Linked DNA regions of Nothobranchius furzeri. The protein of the gene in region 1 interacts with the protein of each later gene in a pairwise test. Links are inferred from orthologs where the notes say so. Each region holds a gene or a part of one and is shown on either strand. Other genes may lie near its edges. The genes, in order: rxrgb and mpped2a.

Region 1 (10,480 bases):
ATATCTCCACAGTTTATTTGAACCATTGTCACTTTCTAGGGGTCATTGATTCATCTCCTACACCCAAACAGAAGCTGTGTGTGTGTGTGTGTGTGTGTGTGTGTGTGTGTGTGTGTGTGTGTGTGTGTGTGTGTGTGTGTGTGTGTGTGTGTGTGTGTGTGTGTGTGAGAGAGAGAGAGAGAGAGACATACATACCCAACCATGCAAAAATTATTACAACTATGCCAACTGATTGAAGAGCCGCGATAGAATCATGTGACCTAAAAAATGTGGGTTGTCCCTTTACAAGCCTCTCTGCAGCATTAAAACCTGTTCGCTAATGCAGATCTCTGCACAGATCATTTTCCGCCCGCCCCCGCAGAATTAAATAAACCACAGGTAGGGAGGGTGTGGCTCTAGCTCGGTATTTACTCAAGCTCTCTAGCTTGAGACCTGTTGTGCCTCATCACATGTAATGGTACACAATACATACAAAAGGCCTATTTTGTGTCATTTTTTGATTGGGTGTGTGCATTTGTAGCTCAACGGCTTTTTTATGTGAGTGCATGTGCTGATCCCGAGAAGAAGAAGAAGATGAGAGTAAAAGAAGGGGTGTAAGGAGGCCATTCGCAGGGCTAATTGCCAGTAATTAGTCATTAGTGAAGAAGGTCATAGCCATGATTTAATTCCAGCTTTAATCAAGCAGAGAACCTGGAAAAGCCCTGCAGGCTGCAGCAGTACTCAGTCATGAGATACATTAAGCTATTTCTTTGGTAATTATGCAGTAAACACGCACGCACGCACGCACGCACGCACGCACGCGCGCGCACGCACACACACACACACACACACACACACACACACACACACAGCTACAACGGCGAGCCTACAAAATTATTCCTTGAGGGAACACTGTTGGTTACTAGTTTATTTTACTTTTCCAGAGAATCCCCAGTGCACTGATTTATTCAGAATGTATTTGGAATTGATGCATTCTTAATGAAAGCTGACACAGCCCTATTTAGTTTTACTTTAGTGTGCTGCTACACGCTCATTTTCATAAGGCGACTTGTACAGTTTTGTTTGTAAACATTTGTTACTTATATATCATTAGTATCATTATTAGAATTTTTTCTTATGTTTATTTCATTCATTTAAAAAATACAACAAATAAATAAACAATATACATATAACAAATACAACTTGAATGAAAGGGAGCAGATGGAAGAAAAAGTCTTATAATTTCTGCCCCCTTTTTTAAAACAAAAATAACAAAACTATCTTTATGCATTCCCTCGAAGTTCATTCTGTCACGTTCCTTGTCCATATTTCAATTATAGCCATTATTCACATTCATATCCACCCAACACACTCGATCTAATATATTCTCTAAACACTTATAGAGTTCTTGACTCTTTCACTTCTCTGTCCAGGCAATTTATGAACTAATTGAATATGATTATATTTTTGAAGGATTTCAGCTACAAAGGAATAAATCAGAAAACATCATGCAACTTTGCAAAGTATGTTTTCAGGTTGTTTACTTTTAAATAAGCAATATTAGTCGTTATATATTGCAAACCCTGTTTCTCCAGTAGAAAAATGCCTCCATCTGAAAGCACCGCTCTTCCTTAGACATTGCTTATGCTTACAGAGTGGTGATGTTTTCTACTCTAGCTGATTGGTTGTGATGTTTCTGTTGTGAGTTAATTTCTCAGCCATGTCTGTTGAGACTACTCATTATTTTTGATGTCTTTGTTTTAATGCTGGGGTTTGTTAGGTATGTAATAAAATATTTCTACAATGAAATATCCCAATATTTTTTTTGATACAGAATCAATATTAAAAAGTAGAAAATAAGTTTTTGAGGGGAATTTACATGAAAAAACTTACTGCATTTCTTTTGTGTGGTGCAATTCAAACTCCGACCACTAGTTGGCAGCAGTTTTTGCTGCCTTCATTCTAATGAAACAACGTGATATTGCGATAACACTGCATGTGTCTTAAGTGCCTGACCTGAGGTTTCAATTTAAATTCATCATCCTCATCCTCATCATCATTTAAATTTGGTCCTAAAATATGCAAATATTGCCCGGCTTTTAGTCCAGTACGGTATTATTTACCCTGGATTGTGATTTATATTGAACCGGCAGATTCTTGCCAATACACACCACTACTGCGCATGGTTCAAACAATGGCTTGAGTGTGTGTTGGTGTCTCTTACCTATATATATATGTATATATATATATATATATATATATATATATATATATATATATATGTATAAGTGACATCTCTGCATTTGACCCATCCCCGTGGGGAGCGGTTGTCACGTTCTGCCCCTGCCTTCCTGACTGTGTCTCTCTCCTGCCCTGATTAGTCCTTATTGTTCTCACCTGCCCCTCGTTAACCTGCCCATGTGTTCCTGATTTCCCTGTGTATTTATACCTCCCTCCTTGTACCAGTCTTCGTCAGATCATTGTGTGTGTTAGTTGTCAGCGTTGTGTTTGTCCTGCCGTTCCCGCTCAGTTATTAAAATCATTTTTACTTTATCCGAGCCTGCATCTTTGACTCCTGAGCTGCTCCACCACACTTGGTCCATCATCTCCACACCCACAACGTGACAGCGTTGAGCTGCAGTAGTGGCTGTGCTCAGGAACTATTTGGTTGTTTAACTCCCCAATCCAACCCGTTAAAGCTGAGTGTCAAGCAGGGAGGCATTGGGTCCCATTTTTGAAGTATGACCACTGAGAAGGTAGCACTTATGATCTGAATGCCTTGTCATATTTAGAAGAATGATGCTTCAATCCCTGATGTGAGCCTCTTTAAATAATAGTGTCACATATCAAATTTTAAAAGGTGGACAAAAGCACTCGTGTCAGCTCAGAACAGGGCAAGGCAGTCCTAGTACCCGAGTGCCGCCATCCAGCATGTTTTAGCTGTTTCCCCATTCCAACACACCTGATTTAATCAGTAGGTGATGAGCAGGCTTCTGCAGAGCTTGAAAACCTGTGAGCAGGTGATTCAACCATTGAATTAGGCTTGTTAGAGCAGGTGAACAACTAAAACATTCTGGATGGTTTCACTCGAGGACAAGGATTGCTTACCCCTGGTTTAGAACATCTTAATTTCCTTTTTTTCTTTTCAACGTCCTGATGGTCTTGTACAAATTAAGCCCAATGTGATTACCCCTTTCATAAAAAGTCAGTGCTGGCAGGGAGAGCAGGCTGTAAAAAGAGACTTTTCCTCCTGTGATAAGCGTTTGCTGATTAGATTATTACAAACGGAGATTAAACATGTAGGACTCTACCCTAAATTTAGGGATTCCAATTATAACTTAATTTTTCTTCACAATACTTGCATGATTTATAATTAGGGCTCTCAGGGTTCATTTGACATGTTCTATGTGGGCCATCATAACACAGCTAGATCATATGAATGAATAGATTATTATAATTTCTCCCTGTGATGATTGCTGAATTTGAAAGTGTTTCATCCCTGCTAAGTTGTCTTACGCTCATGCCAGGCTGCTTAGTTGTCTTTGCCAAGCTACAGTCAGTGGGAGGATATGGTTACTAGAGTTACAGCAACGTGCAGGTGTCCAGAACAAGAAAACTTTGTGTAGCCCTGCATGCACACACAGGGAGGGCCTCTCAAGTTTTAAAAGCTATAGACTTCAATGCAGAGGGGGAACATTTGATAGGTTTGATGACAAAGGAAAAAAGAACATCTGCAGACTCTACCCAGTCTGTTCCACATTTATTCTGTGCTGATACTTTTTTTTGTTTGCATTGCAAATATTTCATTCAGCTTCATTAAGGCGCTGTTTTACACTTGTTTGAAGGCTTCTTCTGATGGATGCGGTCCATAAACAGGGATCATATTTCACATCATGGGCTTTGTAGTCTTATTTAGGTTCCTCTAAGGGGTTGTAAGGCATTGTTCTCGGTTGCCTCTAGTCATATTTTTGGCCTATGCTTGCATGTGGGTTTTCACTTTTGCAGCGTGTTTTTTCTTCTCCATCCCACAGCATTGGCAAAAGGACAATTCCTGACTTCCTGGAATGTTGTAACATTCGTTAAACACACAAACATATGAACCCAACACACAAGCAACTCAACATGCCATCGGGGATGTCATTCAGCATGCATGCAGCCATGTTTATTTCTTTGCATGATAGGGGGTCTGGAGGAAGATGAAGCAGGATTTGTTTGACATCTGCTTCCATCTTTTCCTCCACTTTCTTCACTCTGCTCAGAAAAAGAGAACGAAAACAAGAAGGCATTTCTTCGTTGGCAACATCAAGGTTGACATCGTGTCTTCTCTCCAGCCTTGATCCCTTTTATGAGGCGGTAATCAGACTCTTCTGCTTGTTCTGGACTCTTTTTAAGTACGATCCCACCCCCTCGACCCACCCCCTCTCTGCCTGTCACCTCCGGTTGTGCAGCTACAACAGGTGTCCTCTGTGCAGACAGATAGACATGAGTTGAGTAGGTGGTGCGCGAGCTGATTTGTGCAGCGCTCAGCCTGCAAACTGTTCCTTTGGGATTGATCTCTGTGGAGGGATAATCTGGGTAATCCTATAACTGGCACCAGTGGACTCTGCCTGTTTTGCTTTTCAGTGTCACGCCCCATGCACCCACTGCCTTCATCAGCACACACCCTCTTTCTCCACATCAGATCCTTTTGGTCCTCTTGTGAAAAGTGGTTAATTGAGGATCCACCAAACCACTACTCGAGTCTGACAGCCAGTCGATGTAACTGGCGTTCTGCCAGCTCCACATCAACTGAAATCAAAGGCATGTGGCGATCTGTGTCATCACCTACAACTGGGAACAGCCCTGGGAGAGAAACAGGTTGTTGTCGCTGTGAGTAGATGGTCTTATTTGAAATTAAATGATCACAAGATTGATTTTTACACACAGGCAAAGCTTTAAAATTCTATGCTGTAACCATTTTTTAAAGTAATGTTGCCTCCAAGGAGTTAGTGTGAGAATCGTTGGATATTCTTTGCATGACCACAGTGATTCAATCCCTAATGCAAAGACTTTATTTTGCTTGAAAAATCATATCAAAGTCCTCCATTTTCATTCCTCCCGCAGCTCCATTTGTGCTTTTAAAATCATTGGATCATTTTAACCAGTTGTGACAGGTACAAGGCTTTGCTGTTTCGCGTTAGAACTGAGAGCTCGTGACTCACTCTAAGTCTCAGATGCGTTCAGCGGGGATGTCACTCAGCCTAAAAGGATGCTTCTAGCTCCCTTTGCCTTGTCCTTCACTATCTGTTTAACTCTCAACACTTGTCCCTTCCTATTAGACCCTTTCTATGCAGCTCTGCCTCTCTGTTTGCCTCTGCTGTCTGTCACCTTGTAGCCTTCCATCAATGCTCGCCCTGATGACTTTATCCTCTTTCCTGCTGTGGAGTGGCATGCATTAAGGTCCGCTCACTTGAACAGGTTAGCCTATTTCAAGTGGCTTCATTGTCAATGAATGTTTGTGAAGTTGGTGCTAGCTTCTAAGTGTGCTTGTGAGAGGCTTGTGGAGTGTAGATCATCTCAACGGGAAACCACAAGGATGTTCATTGGCCTGAAAAATTGTCTTTGATGGCAGATCATGTGCTGCTTGTTGATTTTATGAGGGTCTCTTGTTCTGGTTTGTTCTGCAGCTGGACAGTAGACACAGCCTTGTTATAATCCATATAACTATGAGACCCAGCAAGATGAATTCAACACAAAGGGGACTGGATTTTATTTTATTTTATACATTTAATGTAATTTATAGGAATTCTTCTTCTTCTTCTTCTTCTTCTTCTTCTTCTTCTTATTATTATTATTATTATTAAGGGACCCTTCTGCTCTGCCAGCAGGTCCCTTACTGTTATGCACCAGAGAATTTGTTCTCATTTCTCATCTCGGTACGTGTGTGTTCATTAACGCTTTAGCGCCAACATTTCTGGGGTTGTCCACTGCCATTCAGGCCACAATGTGCACACCCACAAATGTTACATCAAAACAACCGGCTTGTCCATGGGAGGTGTTTGTTTACCCCTACGTCACAGGAAAATCAAGAGTTTGGGTTGACCCTAAGGTCACCCCAGTAACATGATTTTGGGCCTAACACATGGCCACTAGCTTGTACCAGTGGGCAGGTCCCTTTTCAAATTTCTTCAAGAATTTTCTAGTTGTTTGAATGTAGTGATCCTGTTTCTCTTTATAGTTAGTAAGTTATTTAGTTTATTATTCTGCTTCCATACATTTTTTGGCATTTATCTACTTCCACAATTCTTCAACTATTTACATAATTTTGGTATCAAAACGCTCAGCTTGTCCAGCTTATGCCGGCAATGACTTTTGGTGTTAAAATATTTTATACTTTTTGAGATATTCAGCTTTTTCTGCGATTTTTGGTCCCATTGAAATGAATGGGATTGCTCAATTTTCAGCTAAATCCTATCACTTTTTTGAGCTCTTACTCTTATAGGTTAACTTTAACCTAGAGACTTCATTCAAGTTTCAACAACCTCACAAGACTTTCAGCTATTAATGGTTTAAAATCTTTTTGATATCTATTACAGTTTTTCTAAAATCACAGGTAGAAGTTGAGGTACGACTTGAGATTTTCAGAAAAATTCACTAAAATTATAATGGGCAGAGATAGGAGCAATGACCCTCCTTTGCTCCATTTCTGGCATTGTCCTGAGAAACCCGTAAGTCCGATTGAAATGAGACGCATGCTGGCTTGCAGCTAACGGATATACCTTCATTTTGAGCTATAAATCACGAATGTACTCCAAACATTGTGGCTGTACGGTTCATTTCTTTGACAATATTCAAAATTTAAAAAAAATTTCTTCCACTCTAAACTGAAAATTCCACACTCTAACTTTTGACCTTCACATTTTCTGGAAACAACTCTTTCCAACCCCCAGACCGTTTGGAGAACCGACACAAATTATATCACAAAAAGTAGGAATTTTTGTCAGCTTTTCAGAATGGGTTTCATTTCGTCCTTAAGTGTTACATTTCATTCTCTACAAACCTTGGAAGGAGGAGAGACCCTGATTCTGTCTCATTGAAACCCATGTTAACGGAACAGAGATTTCCTCCTCCGATCGGCTTCAGACAGCTAAAATGTTCTCGTCATAGCTTCTAGACAATTCATGGTAGGCACATGAAAATTCACACAGATGACCATCAAAGCGGAACCGCCCCCTCCTCTTTCGCTGCTCTCTCATTGGCTGAGAGTTTTCAATCGTCTTCTGCCCAAAAGGAAATATGCACCCACACATATGATACATCAATTCAACCTGCTTGGTCCCAGGAGTATTGTATTAACTTGATACTGTGTTCTGCGTTACCATGGCAACGTGCATAGCAACAACATTTAACAACATTTTAGACACAACTGTATCAACATACTTTAATATAGAAATGTTATTCCAAGTTTAAAAGAGTCATGTGACATTGTACATTGCTTTATTAATGCAGACTCCTGTCATCTGTTACCATGGCAACACAAGGAACTACAAATCACTTTGACCAAGTCTCATAGGAATGAATATAAAAAGCTGAATATTGAGCCAATAACAGACTCCTGTTTTTGATCTTTTTTAACTATCTGTCCTTAAAACTAGAAATAAGTTCAATTTGATTGACCGCCAGAAGGTGGGAAAGTGCCCCGCTCTCTCCCAGCTCCCTGATTGGTTGAGAGAGGTCAATCATCTTCTGGCTAAATGGACTTACACACCCACACATGTGAGACATCAAATCGATCGGCTTTGCCTAAAGAATCCATCCATCCACATATAAATCCATCCATCCATCCATCCATCCATCCATCCATCCATCCATCCATCCAATAAACCATCTAACATCCATCCAACAATCCATCCGTCATTTCATTCATGCAACCATTCATCCATCCCATACCAAGTCTGAACATATATATATGTTAATCTATCAGTTTCAGATATCAGCAAATGTTTCTAAATTCACAGTTCAGCCAATTGTAAAAATGTACCCGTTAAACAATTCTCATTCAAATGCCAGCTGCTTAACATTTCAAATTTTGAGTTTTTAATCTGTGTTCGAAAATTTAAGTTTTCTGCTGTTTAGCATTTTTTGTCCATTCTTCACCTATTTTCTGGGCTTTAATACACTTGTTGGTGATTTTTGCTTCTAAATCTTTCAATACATTCAGCTCATTTTGACAGTTTAGCTTATTTTCAGCTTCACTTCAGCTATTCAGCAGCTTCAGTAATCAGTTTCTGAATTCGGCATATGCTGCTCATTTCACAGTTCAGCTAAATGTAAAAATTAAACTGTTATCTAGTCCTACTGAAATAACAGGTGTTTAGACATTTTAGCTGTCCAGTTTTTTAAACAATGTTCACAGATCTCAGTTTTCTGCGGTTCAGGATTAATTTTCTTGAATCTTCACTTACTTTTTGTACTTTATTTGCTTGTTGATGCTTTTTGCTTTCACATCTTTCACTACATTCAGCTCATTTGCTAGTTTAGCTTAGTTTCAGCTTCACTTCAGATATTCAGCAGCTTCAGCAATCAGTTACCAAATTTAGCATAAACTGCTAATTTCACAGTTCAGCTAAATGTAAAGATTAAACTGTTAAACTTGTCCAACTGAAATTACAAGTGTTTAGACATTTTAGCTGTTCAGATTTTTATACAATGTTCACAGATTTCAGTTTTCTGCTATTTAGGATCATTTTTCTCCATTCTTCACTTACTTTTTGTGCTTTATTTGCTTGTTAGTGATTTTTGCTTCTACATCTTTCAACACATTCAGCTCATTTTGACAGTTTTGCTTACTTTCAGCTTCAGTTCAGCTATTAACCCTCTGATGCATGAATTATGAAATCTTCAACTATGATTTTTTTAACATTTTTTTCTTTCATCTTTAGGTGTGAATGAAACAAATTTCAACAAATATTTTTTGTAAAATTTTATAATTTACAAATAATTTATTACATGTCCACCTCAGTGGACAGCGTGCATTCTGAGCATGAAATATGTTGGCTTGGCTTACTGAAGTCCAAAACGAGGGGCTCAAATGCAATAAAGTCTTCAACAGCTGTGCTTAATAGCAAAAACAAATAAATAACCATTTTGAGTATCTGTCCACTGTAGTGACCATTATGCATCAAAGGGTTAAGCTGATTCAGCTAACAGTTTAAGCTATCCAGCATTCAGACAGCATTTCTGCAAGAAATCTAGTTATTATTATTATTATTATTATTATTATCATTGTTGTTGTTGTTGTTGTTATTATTATTATTAGTAGGAGTAGGAGTAGTAGTAGTAGTAAAAACAAAAGCATAAAATCAAAACATACATCAAATATTTTAAATGACTTCTCACCCATAAAAGCACATTTTTTTCTTGAGTTCTCCTTCACTTAAAAATGCAGTAGTTAACTAAAATAATACATCTTTTGTTTTAGTGATGCACAGATAGGAAAGTTTTGAGCCGATACCGATATCCATTATTGATATTTACCGATACCGATATACTGACATTATTGCTTCATAAATCAGCAGATTTTGTATAGAATGAACATGAATAAAGCTGAATTTACATAATTATGTACACACGCCACACACATTTACACTTCTGAGATGATTACACTCACTGTCACATGACTAAACAAATACACATCACTCCCCTCTGAAACAGATAAACAAATATAGACAAGATGGAAAAAATGCGGGTTGTTCATATCAGCCCAGTTTTATTTATGGGGCCGATGCTGATATGTTAAAAAACGGCTAACGCCGGCCGGTACCGATATTGATGCAGACATATCATGCATCCCTAATTATTTTCTTTAAAAACTGGTCCAAACATACCAACTGAGATTCACTAATAACCATTCTTTCAGATGACTTCATTGTGTTCATATTGACTTCTGTTTTTGAGTCAGCCATTTGGCTTACAATAAAAATAGCCAAGTTATTTTACAATAGGTCATTTAAAGTTTGACTAAGTGGATTTTTACTCCCTGTGGTTAAAGGAATTATTGAAAGGAAATCAAAGAGAGACGTTGAAAAGGTGAAGTTGTATAAATAAACTGTTCTTCAGTTCTTCTGTTTAGTTTCAAACAGAGAACTGCCATAATAACCTTTAAATGAACTTATATTAAACAAGCACCTCCTGCTTGTTTGTTTGGGTTTGGGTTAGGGCTGCATGGTGGCGTAGTTGTTAGCACTGTTGCCTCGCAGCATGAAGGTTGCAGGTTTGAAACTTGGCTGCAGCCATTCTGCTTGGAGTTGCGTGTTCTCCCCATGCATGCGTGGGTTTCCTCCGGTTTCCCCCACAGATCACAACGTGCCCTATAGGTTATAAATTGTAAGTCGCTTTGGATAAAAGCGTCTGCCAAATAAATAAACATAAACATAAACATTGTTTACATTAGCATCCAAATAGCTTCAAATCTGTTGAGTTTCTCGTGTCTAAACTGTGGACCAAATGCTAAACACGATGA
Region 2 (9,992 bases), on another chromosome or scaffold:
GTCGGGAGTGCAGCAAAACCTAAAATGCTATTCTGGTCATCTGTTAAGATTGCCTGTATTTTTAATATTGCAATATACGTCACTGTGGGTTATAAAAACTGCAATGGGATTTTTTCCCCCAATACCCTGCAGCCCCAGTTTCCACTATCAGTCAGCGTGATCTTGAGTGCTTGTGAAAACTTTAAAGGGTTTGTGAGGAAAGATGCCTCCAAGCTTCTGCGTTTAGAAGGCCAAATCCAATGAGGTGTTAAGAAAATGGTTAAAATGATCTGTTAAATGAGGAAGGAGTGTGATTTAAAAGGTGTAATGAGAATGATGCAGTGTGTGTGTGTGTGCTGTTAGAGGGTTGTCCTGTAGCCCATCCAGGGACTCAGAGCATGCCGCTCGAGGGAGCTGAGGGGTTAAAAGTGGTGTCACGCCCGGAGAGACCCTGCGTCACCGTCCTAATGATGTCCAACGGCCTAATTGAATATTGACGTTCTGCACACAAGGGCTAAATGGCTTGTGTCTGCTTTACCTCTGCTGCTGCTGGCCACAACTAGAGAATTTTAACCCGTTTGATTCCTACAGGATAGACGATCGTTAAATGTTCCTGTTACCAAGGTTACCAGGTTTTTGTCCTTTGATGCTCTGATCCTTGTTTTGTTTTTTGTTTTTTTTGGCTGCTGTATTGAGGTGCAGAGGTTTTAATTGAAAGAGGACGTTCCATGACGTGTCTTGTGATTTTCCTTGTTAGTCCATTTGATTCACTCGCCTCCTGTTCTGCATCACACAAACACCTGAAAGTTAGAATCTGCTTTTGACTTTAAAACCCCACTCATCCCTTTCTTTTCCTATGTCAGCACCTCCTTCCACCTTTTCTGCTTCTCCCACTTCTGCTTCTATGTCTGTGACAGCGTTTCGCTTCCCTCTGAGCTAGCCTCCAGACGTCGCTACTCTGTTGCTACGGTGACGCTCTCCAGATGGCAAGTGTCAAGGCAAGACTGGGCTCTGAGTGTTGTCTGATCTCTGCACACGTTAGTCCTCTCTGGCAGCAGAACGCCGTGTTCTACACGCCGGTGCTGCTCACACTCGGCACCTTTGTCACAGCCACACAGGAAAACGCTCGCTCCTTTATGCGACCGGGATGTCATTAATCTAGGCGGAGGTTAACAAATGCGCTCACATGGAGGGTATATTTCATAGGCAGGCAGCCAACAATGGGGCCATTGTGGCATGGAGCTGTTGCTCCCCGCTCTGCATTCAGTCAGGACCTTTGGTCGGCTCCGGATCCACGGCTCATGTCGGGGGTTATGTTTCATCTCCCAGATGAATGTGTTTATGTGGGGGGAAACCTGTGAAACACCAAGCAAAATTAAGGCTCCAGCTGTTTATTTATTTTTTGCTGCAAGAAAGCGTGATTTATTTTTCAGAATTCGAAGGGGGGCACAATTGCATTTGGTCATTTTTCAAAGTTTGGCCTTGTGGCTATTAGTCAAACCCAGAGCTAGATGAATACCCTGCTGCTGCTTTCTGTGTGCATCCAGCTGACTGGGCCAGCTCTGCTCTGATTCACTGTTTGCTGAGTTCCTCCACAGCAGCAGCGCTATTTCCATCTGAAAAGTGGCGAGCCTTCTCAATAATCCATTAGACTTCCATTAGCTGCGATTTGTGTGATTAGTTCTAATTAATCAGTTCAGTCTGTGGCCTTCGCTCCCCTGCGCGCTCCTCACATTTCATTTTTAACCTCATTTCTCAGCTCTCCACTGAGCGAGAGAACAAGGCAACGACTGAGCGAGCAAATCAAAGAGTGAGCTTCAGGTCCGCCGCCGCCTTTCAGTCAGAGTGCACAAACATTTAACACTCGGAGCAGGTGCCTGTGCTGCATTATAATACCCGTTTGTCTCAGCACTCTGAATGATGGGTGTTTTTCATTGTTGTGGTGATATTTTAGGTTGTTGGTTGTGTTTTAGAAATGAACCGGAGGGGGTTGTGGTCTCATGTTTTACACATCTGGGGCCCGCTCTGCCTCTGGTCGGTCCCGCTTGGCTCTCTCCTCTGGAACACTCGGTATTGATTAGTGCTGGAGCGTCCATCCTTCACTGTAACACAGCCTATCGATGTTTGTGGAGCCCTGATTTCCCTTCGGTCAGATACCATCCGTGGTGCCATCGCTAAGTGACCGGGAGCTGCTCTGAACTCTGCACATGATGGAGCTCAAGTCTTTTCATCAGCGGCTCGGCCCCTCTTAGCTGCAAGCCTCAAGTTAACATCTAATTTTAACCTGTGTTTGTTGATGTCGGTTGACTTGTATACTGACTGAGGTATTACGTGATGATAATCCGTCTTTTTTTCCTCACTTGTCAGCCATTACTACTGTTGTGACAAATGAAAGCTCAATTCCTCAGCTAGCCTCCTCTCAATTTCTTTTCCTCCCGTTGGTTTTGACGACTTCTGCTCCTACATCCAACCCCCACACTTTATTTCCTCATCTGTTTAAACCCTCTGACTCTTATCTATCCTTTCCTCATCCCCACTCAGCCAGACCGAGGCTTTCTTTGTGTGTGCCGGAGGAGGCTGAGAAGCTGCTTGTCACCCCAGAGATGCAGACTCCCATCCAGGCTGCTGGAGGTGGCCCGGCTGCTGTCAGTCAATCTTTAGACGGGTAGCAGAGGGAGAAGCGGCTGACACATGATGTGGCTCCCCGCTGTTTAGAAATTCACTTTTCTTCCTTTCTACCAGTTCTGTGCAGTCAGTGGTTCAGTTTTAGCTGCTAAAATGAATGTGTGACTGCTGGAATGTAAAAGCACTAGTTCCGTCGGATTGAACCAGGCCTTCACAGTTCATGGATGACCAATCTGATTCGTTAGCATGTGCTGAAAGATCGCCCAACCATCTTGTGTTTTTATATATTACAACCAGTTCTCCTGTATACACCTGTGTGTTTAATTTATGATGAGAAAACATATCGGTACCATTCCTGGTTTCACGTTAAATAAAAGGTTTCTGACTCATTAAAGTTATTTGCAGTCTGAGTTTGTAGTGTTTAACGGGCTGTAGACAGACTGGAGAATCAGGTAAGAACTCTCTTAGAACTGCTCAAAGCAGAACTCATTTAAAGAAACATTAATTACGTTTCCCAGTATCTCCCTCCCAGTGGTTGAAAGTGGAATTAAAACTATTGTAAGCAACTCCGCTGCAGCCTGTAGTGCTAACAACAAGCTAACTCTAAAACAAGCCAAGCGATACTGAATAAATCGAAGTTAAAAGATTCACACTGTTGGACAGAAAAAGAAACAAGTCCAGTAGCAACAAAGCTAGGTCACCATCAGTTTGTGGTTTCCTTCAGCTCCCTCAGATGGGTGTAGGTCGCACCAATGTTTACTCTGGTTTTAGTGATTTGCTTCGCCTCCAAAGACATTACTCTCAAAAACATTACATTCTTTCACTTCCAGGCTCCACCATGACGTCTAGTTAAATTATTTACGTCTGCTTCTTTAGTTTTTTGATGGTTGGCTAACTGTTAGCCTTTATATTAGCTACCATCTCAGTAAATGGCTATTTCCTTAAAGTAGGTAAAGGCCTCAGCCTAGTGCATCTACCTGAGCCACAAAACTAAGTGCAGTTTCTGGTCCGCAGAGGGCTACATAGGGCTTACCAGTGTACACTTGGTCTAGTTTCTGCTTCAAGAGTCGCTGAAACCACTTTAAAAGAAAAACCTTTAAGTGTTAAAACTCTTTGAGCAAACTTTCTGCAATCTAAAGCAACTGAAACTTTAAAAACTGCAGAGAGAAGTGAGTTTCTCTCTGATTGTCTAAACTAAGATCACCCTGACTGCTGTCTGCCGTAGGTAAGATGCTGACCGCTCAGAAGGACTCCACAGAGACCACATTAAAGCACTCCCAATGTTACCAGCAACAGCTGAAACATGTTCTTTATAGAAATGTTGATATTTTGCTCCCATTTCCACACTGGTAAAGAACCATTTAGCATCTGTGTGTTTGTTTTGGATCCATGTCCCACAGCATCATTGTATATGTGCTTGTTTTTCCCTTTAATGGTAAAGATAGAACTCATTTAAATAGAAACGTGTGCAGATGCAGACCCTAGCGACATAAAGTGTTCATCTTCACATGATTCATGAAGGTAATTTGATGAAAAGGGACACAGGGTGCAAATTATGTGAATATGAAATGTTATTTATGGTGAAATGTTGAAAAGAAGGATAAAAAATGGGTGATGTTTATTGCTTTTGGACATGATTGTTGATGAATGTTGTAATAATGGCGGAGTGAGTGATGCTAATGTGACCCCCTCTCCTCCGTCTCTGCAGGACTCCGTGGTTTAACGGCTGGGGGTTCAACCTGCCTCGGGGTCAGTCTCTGCTGGATAAATGGAACCTTGTCCCCGAGGGCATCGACATCCTGATGACCCACGGACCTCCGCTCGGTGAGTCCAATTAACCAATCACAGCCCCCTTGTTGCCAAATATAATGAAGCTGTGCCTCATTATTCAAAGTCTGGATGAGGCGTCTGGAGGCAGAGCTGTGAATGTGTGTGTCTTCAGCCTCTGTGTCGACTCTGTTTTGCATCTAAAGTCGGTTGTGTGTGCAGCCAGAACTCAAACATACTTCATAATTCAATATTTTTGTTTGCTTTAAGGGTGGGGGGTGCATATGTTTTTTCACTGCAAAATGATTAGATTTTCCTTCTAGCTGTTTGGATCCCAGTTGTTGTTTTTTTCCCTTCTCCTTCGTGTTCTCCATCTGGCTTTATTGAGAGATTTCCTTCCCTTTCGCCTACGGAGAGGCGCTGCTGCTACTGCAGCAGCCGCTGTGGCTGTTTGATTGCATGGAAACTCGATTTCACCACGGTGTGACAGACGCTGCAAACGACTAGAGAGGGACCGTACAAGAGAACGGCTGCGCTGGAGGGAGGAGCCAGCTCCAAATATAGGGAGACAGACAATTGGGGTGGGGGGGGGGGGGGGGGGTGTTAATGTTTCACCAAGATCTTGCACTGATGATGGTGGACTGGGGGCTGCACAAGTGAGGTAGACATATGAAGACACGGATTCATCTGGCAGAATGTTGAGTTTAAATTAAAAGGCTGGCATGTCAGCATGTTTTCTCTGTCAAGGTTGAGTTTTATGAGTTTGAACTGAAGTTAAAAAAAGGCATTAAATCCATCCAAACGGGAACAGGAGACCTGCTAGGCTCTGATAATAATTCCTCTGTAAATATTTGGCTGAACAGTCACCCGTGGTGCATCAGGAAGCAAGATTGTGATTATTTATAACTTCTACAGAAACACTTTGAGTTAACAGAATTATCTCTAAAATAAGATGGTAAACCTGAAACCGACACAAGTCAGAGCCTGTGGCCACATTCAGATTTAGCTCTGGTTGTTTGTTAGATGTGTCCATCACGGGTTCAGGACCGGTCCAAAGTGATGGAGATGCCTTAGAAAATGGAGAGAGCTGTCTGTAAAATGTTTCCTGTGGATGTGTGTACAGGCTTCAGAGACTGGGTACCTAAAGAGCTGCAGCGGGTCGGCTGTGTGGAGCTGCTCAACACGGTTCAGAAGAGGGTGCGACCCAAACTTCATGCCTTTGGAGGCATACATGAAGGTACTGGCGATGTTAAGATCCCTGCACATGTGTGTGTGTGTGTGTGTAATCATACAGAGGTGCCAACTGCTCCATGCTCAAAGAAGGATACTTAAAAGGAGAATAAATTTAAATCGGATACAATGCTTGGCCCAAAAAAAGTTGTCGCGAGCGTGTCCTATTTGTCGGTTCCTTTAAAACCTGGTTCCGTTAGAACCTATACAGGGTGTCCGCGGGGTTTTAAAAAGTATTAAAAAGTGATAAATAAAAATAGTCAAATTTAAGGCCATTAAAAGTGTTAAATTTGGTCTCAGAGGTATTATTTTTTCCAAATTAGGTATTATTTTTTCAGAATATCAGATGTCGTATTCTGAACATCGACATAGAAATATATTCCGAATGAAATGTTTTGAACGATTATAAAAATAAAACAAGCCGATTATTTGCTCCTCCCACTTGCACTGCCCTGAGTTGCAAATGAAGCGCTCCTCCACAGTGTTGCCAACTTGGCGACTTTGACGCTATTTCTAGCAGCTTCTCAGACCCCCTTCTTGATTTTTTAAATCTTAAAAGTACCTAGCGAACACCTCAAACATCTCTGGTAACCCTTAGCTACTTTCTGGATAACTGTCATCGACATTTCCTGCAGGTTAGCTAAACACTCCGCCTGCACTCCGGACCGTTCTTCAGGACATTAGGAAAGGGAATGATGTAGTGATGTGTCGGTCGCTAAAGAAACGGCTCTCAGAGCCGGCTCCATGTTGGATTAACCAGAGTGAGTGACACACACACCGCACCTGCGGACTCCTGAGCCGATAAAAACGGCTAAATGTGCGCGTGCAGCATGCTAAACACACGTGCAGCTTGCCCCTGATTGCTGTGAGACCGGGTGGGGGGGTGGGGGGTGCAGCTGTGTTTGGGACAATTATTACATTAACTGATGGATTTGTAAATAAATAGTTTATAAATAAGGTAGAAATAAGTTCCTCACGCTGATAAATAATAACTAATCTCTCTGAGGACACGGTGCTAGTGCACTCTCCTACAGCACCTTGACACGACTAAATAAATGTTATGCAAAATTTAGTGAACATCAATTTGCATGTATTTGTTATAAATGCCACTGTATAATTCTTGCTGTCAGTATTTGCAAGATATTGGTATTTGGGTCTGTACTGGTTAGACTTAAATGAGTTAAACCAAGGTCTATAGCCCTTGGGTCATTTGCTATAAGTATATTGGTCTTTTTATCCTGGGAATCAGGAGTTAATTTAGTGATCATCTTGTTTCTTGTTTATTTTTGCCCTGATTGTGCCCTGAGCAGTTTTATGACTGAATAAAAACAACAAAAAATCTACATAAATTGAAAAATCATCTTAAATAATCGAGATCTCAATTTCAGTCACAATAATCGTGATTATTGTTTTTGCCATAATCTAGCAGCCCTACTTTAGCATATCCGGTCACATAATGATGACGTCATATTCAGTGGTCGTTGTGCATCATTTAAGGCCTCGTGGTCAACTGAACCGCTGAACAGAAGTGCCTGGCTTATTTTCTAAGTAAAATAAATATGTGCAATACGTTGTCAACATCAGTGAGTCTCTAAGTCTATTCTTTTTGTATGTTATATATGTTAAAATATGTGTAAATAGGTCGCTGATTAACCCTTTTTAATTTAGTGTTGTGATGGTTTTAAAAAAATTCTGAAGGTAGTAAAAAAAGTATTAAAAAGTAGTAAATTTTACTTAAGGATTGCTGTATATACCCTGCTATAAGACTGCACTGCTTTCTCAGGGTTCGTGGGGCGTCGTTGAGTTTTATTGTATTAGACCCTGGTTTGGACTTCCTAATTAGAATCAGTTTCCTATTTTAAGGTGAGAATGATATGCCGTACTTTTTTCTTTTTTGATAGCTTACTTTCTTTTTAGTTTCTCCCGTTATTTAGTGGTTCTAAATACTAGGGCAAAGTTCAGAAGCAGGCCATTCTTCTGACAATTATTTGGATTATATTAGGATTAATTTGCGCCTCTGTCAGCTTTTGTGAGCGGTGGCTACTATAAAATGATTCTTGTTAGTTGATCAGGCTAACATAGATTTATCAATTAATCTAATTAATCCAACCTTCCCGCGCTGGCAAAGACTTTTTCACACTTGCAAACAGAGCCTATTTTAACCTACTAATGTTTTGGCTTATCAATCCTTAAGATATCTCGTTACTCACGGGAGAGGAGAAGACTAGCTTCTTCACTTAAGGTTTCTTTTCTTAATCTGTCACAAACTGTAAAGCAAGTCCTGAAAATTCAGGAACCTGTAATTACAATATGCTTACCTCTCCTATTGTTTCGGGTCGGACTCTTCTTGACCTTCTGCCCAATTTTACTCCCAGAAGCAAGTTCTGATCCCTTATCTCTGTGACCCTTCTGTGAACCTCGCTTCTCACCACAGTTTCTGACCCGCAGGAACGTGCAACAAAGTCACCACCCAAATCATCTTAGCTCATCCCCACCAGCGTGTGAATGGATGAATGGTGCGCTGTAGTGTAAAGGCCCTATACAAGTGCGGGTCATTTATCATTTGTAAATATGAGGAAGTAAAACAGATTCTTGTTTTCTTAGACTCAATCTTTTGTTTTGTTTTGCTTTAACTCTCAGCGTGTAGACTGACTCCTTAAGTCAGCTGTAGCTGTTGGTGCATTTCTCATGAGTTCAAACAATGGCAGCGTACGGTGATACGTATCACATCTGCCACAGAGGTGAGCTCTGATCACCCACTACGTCGCCGCATAGGCCAAACCTCCCACACATCAGTGACTTCCTAAAGGTTTGATACTGTAATCAGCTGTAAATGGAGACTCCTGCTGATGGTTTCTGCGCTGAACCCGGCGCTCACAGACCCGTGATCGTTTATTAAACTTCCAGTCTGACTCTGTCTCCTGTCCCAGGGTACGGGATCATGACGGACGGCTACACAACCTTCATCAACGCGTCAACCTGCACTGTCAGCTTCCAGCCCACCAACCCCCCCATCGTTTTTGACCTGCCCAACCCCCCCAGCTCCTGAGACCAGAGGACTGTCAAGGGCTGGATGGACAACGACTTTTCTATAAATATTTCAACTTACAGAAAAATTCTAAGTGTTTCTTTGCAAAAAAAAATTAAAAAAAAAACAAACTTTTTTGCTCTTCTCCAAGCTGTTGTTGAGATGGAGAGGACATTGTTGGGTGGGGTGGGGTGGGGGTTCACTAGGAGCATTAAAGGAGAATACCGGTGTTTTATTTCTAAACCGTGCCAAGTTCTGATTTCCTGCTCAGATTCACTCTCAGGTGGAAAACAAAATGAGATAATCCACCAACAAACGTGCTTTTATTTGTATTTTACTGAGCAGAGTTTAGTCTTCATCTCACTCTCTGTTTCCTGTCATCCTCAGGAAGGCAGCGAACTAGCTAAAAACACGATGCCTTAGAGCAGAGCGCCAAACGAAAGTGACACATGAACTCGCACAGAAGAACCGATTACCTGATCACAGAGAAACAAACCGCCACTAATCCTTTGTGTCACATGTTCACGTGTACGTGTTCCACGAAGCCGTGAACTCAGGCCGGCTGAGCCTGGCTGACGCCGGTATTCTCCTTTTCTCTGGGATTTTGTGGTTAAACAATCTTGCTCTTGATAAATATTGGTCAGAACTGTAAAATAAATGATGCTTTGTTAATTTGTACAATTCCTTGACATTTTGTTTGCGTTGGCCAGACAATGGACACCATTGTTTAACGTTGTGTCGTTTTTAAAAATGTTCCTTTTGATTTATTGTGACTTCTTTTTTTATTTTGGCTGACAGGGACGCTGCCTTAAACTAGCTTTAATGTTCTCAGCTAGAGCTCCTCTCTGCAAGCTCAGAGAAAAGTCCTTATTTATTACCCACCATCCCCGCAGAACAACACCGCACTGACGCAGGGACGGATCGTTATCAGTCACAGCCACAAGTTTCGCTTTCGGTCATCTCATTATGGATTTCTCTTCTAATTTGGAAATGTATGTATAAAAAATATATATATTATATATTCATCTTATAACACATCTGTAGTAAAAGTTGTTTGACAAGAGAAAAAAGACAGGTGCATTTTCTGTATCTTTATGCTCTCATCAGATGTTTCTTTAATGTTTTCTGTAATGGCTCTCCCTGTAGAAGTTCATTTTGAATGAGAGGAAAATCTGTCGCTCACAATCCCACAGGTGTTGATTGTTCCTACAACACACCTGCCTAAACATGGAGAAGATGTCCTTTAAAGTGATAGTATTTGTTTTTTGTTGCTTTTTTCTAATTTTGCACTGTGTGTAAATGCAATCTTGCTAGCACAAAAAAACGTTGCCAATAGTCGTCTGAACTTGTCTTCGACAGCTGT

What was found.
Region 2: the proteins of rxrgb (region 1) and mpped2a interact in binary tests that used the Homo sapiens proteins (3 or more experiments, as listed by UniProt). The two-hybrid records come from large-scale screens. The link is inferred for Nothobranchius furzeri from reciprocal best matches to the Homo sapiens genes RXRG and MPPED2.

Annotation. Positions count from the first base shown.
Region 1 is NC_091748.1:54,258,257-54,268,736, forward strand, and holds the start of rxrgb (retinoic acid receptor RXR-gamma-B), read left to right. Parts: upstream 1-4,444; 5' UTR 4,445-4,613; coding exon 4,614-4,848; intron 4,849-10,480. UniProt on the Homo sapiens protein: Receptor for retinoic acid. Retinoic acid receptors bind as heterodimers to their target response elements in response to their ligands, all-trans or 9-cis retinoic acid, and regulate gene expression in various biological processes.
Region 2 is NC_091749.1:52,335,722-52,345,713, forward strand, and holds part of mpped2a (metallophosphoesterase MPPED2a), read left to right. Parts: intron 1-4,312; coding exon 4,313-4,428; intron 4,429-5,494; coding exon 5,495-5,608; intron 5,609-8,531; coding exon 8,532-8,650; 3' UTR 8,651-9,992. UniProt on the Homo sapiens protein: Displays low metallophosphoesterase activity (in vitro). May play a role in the development of the nervous system.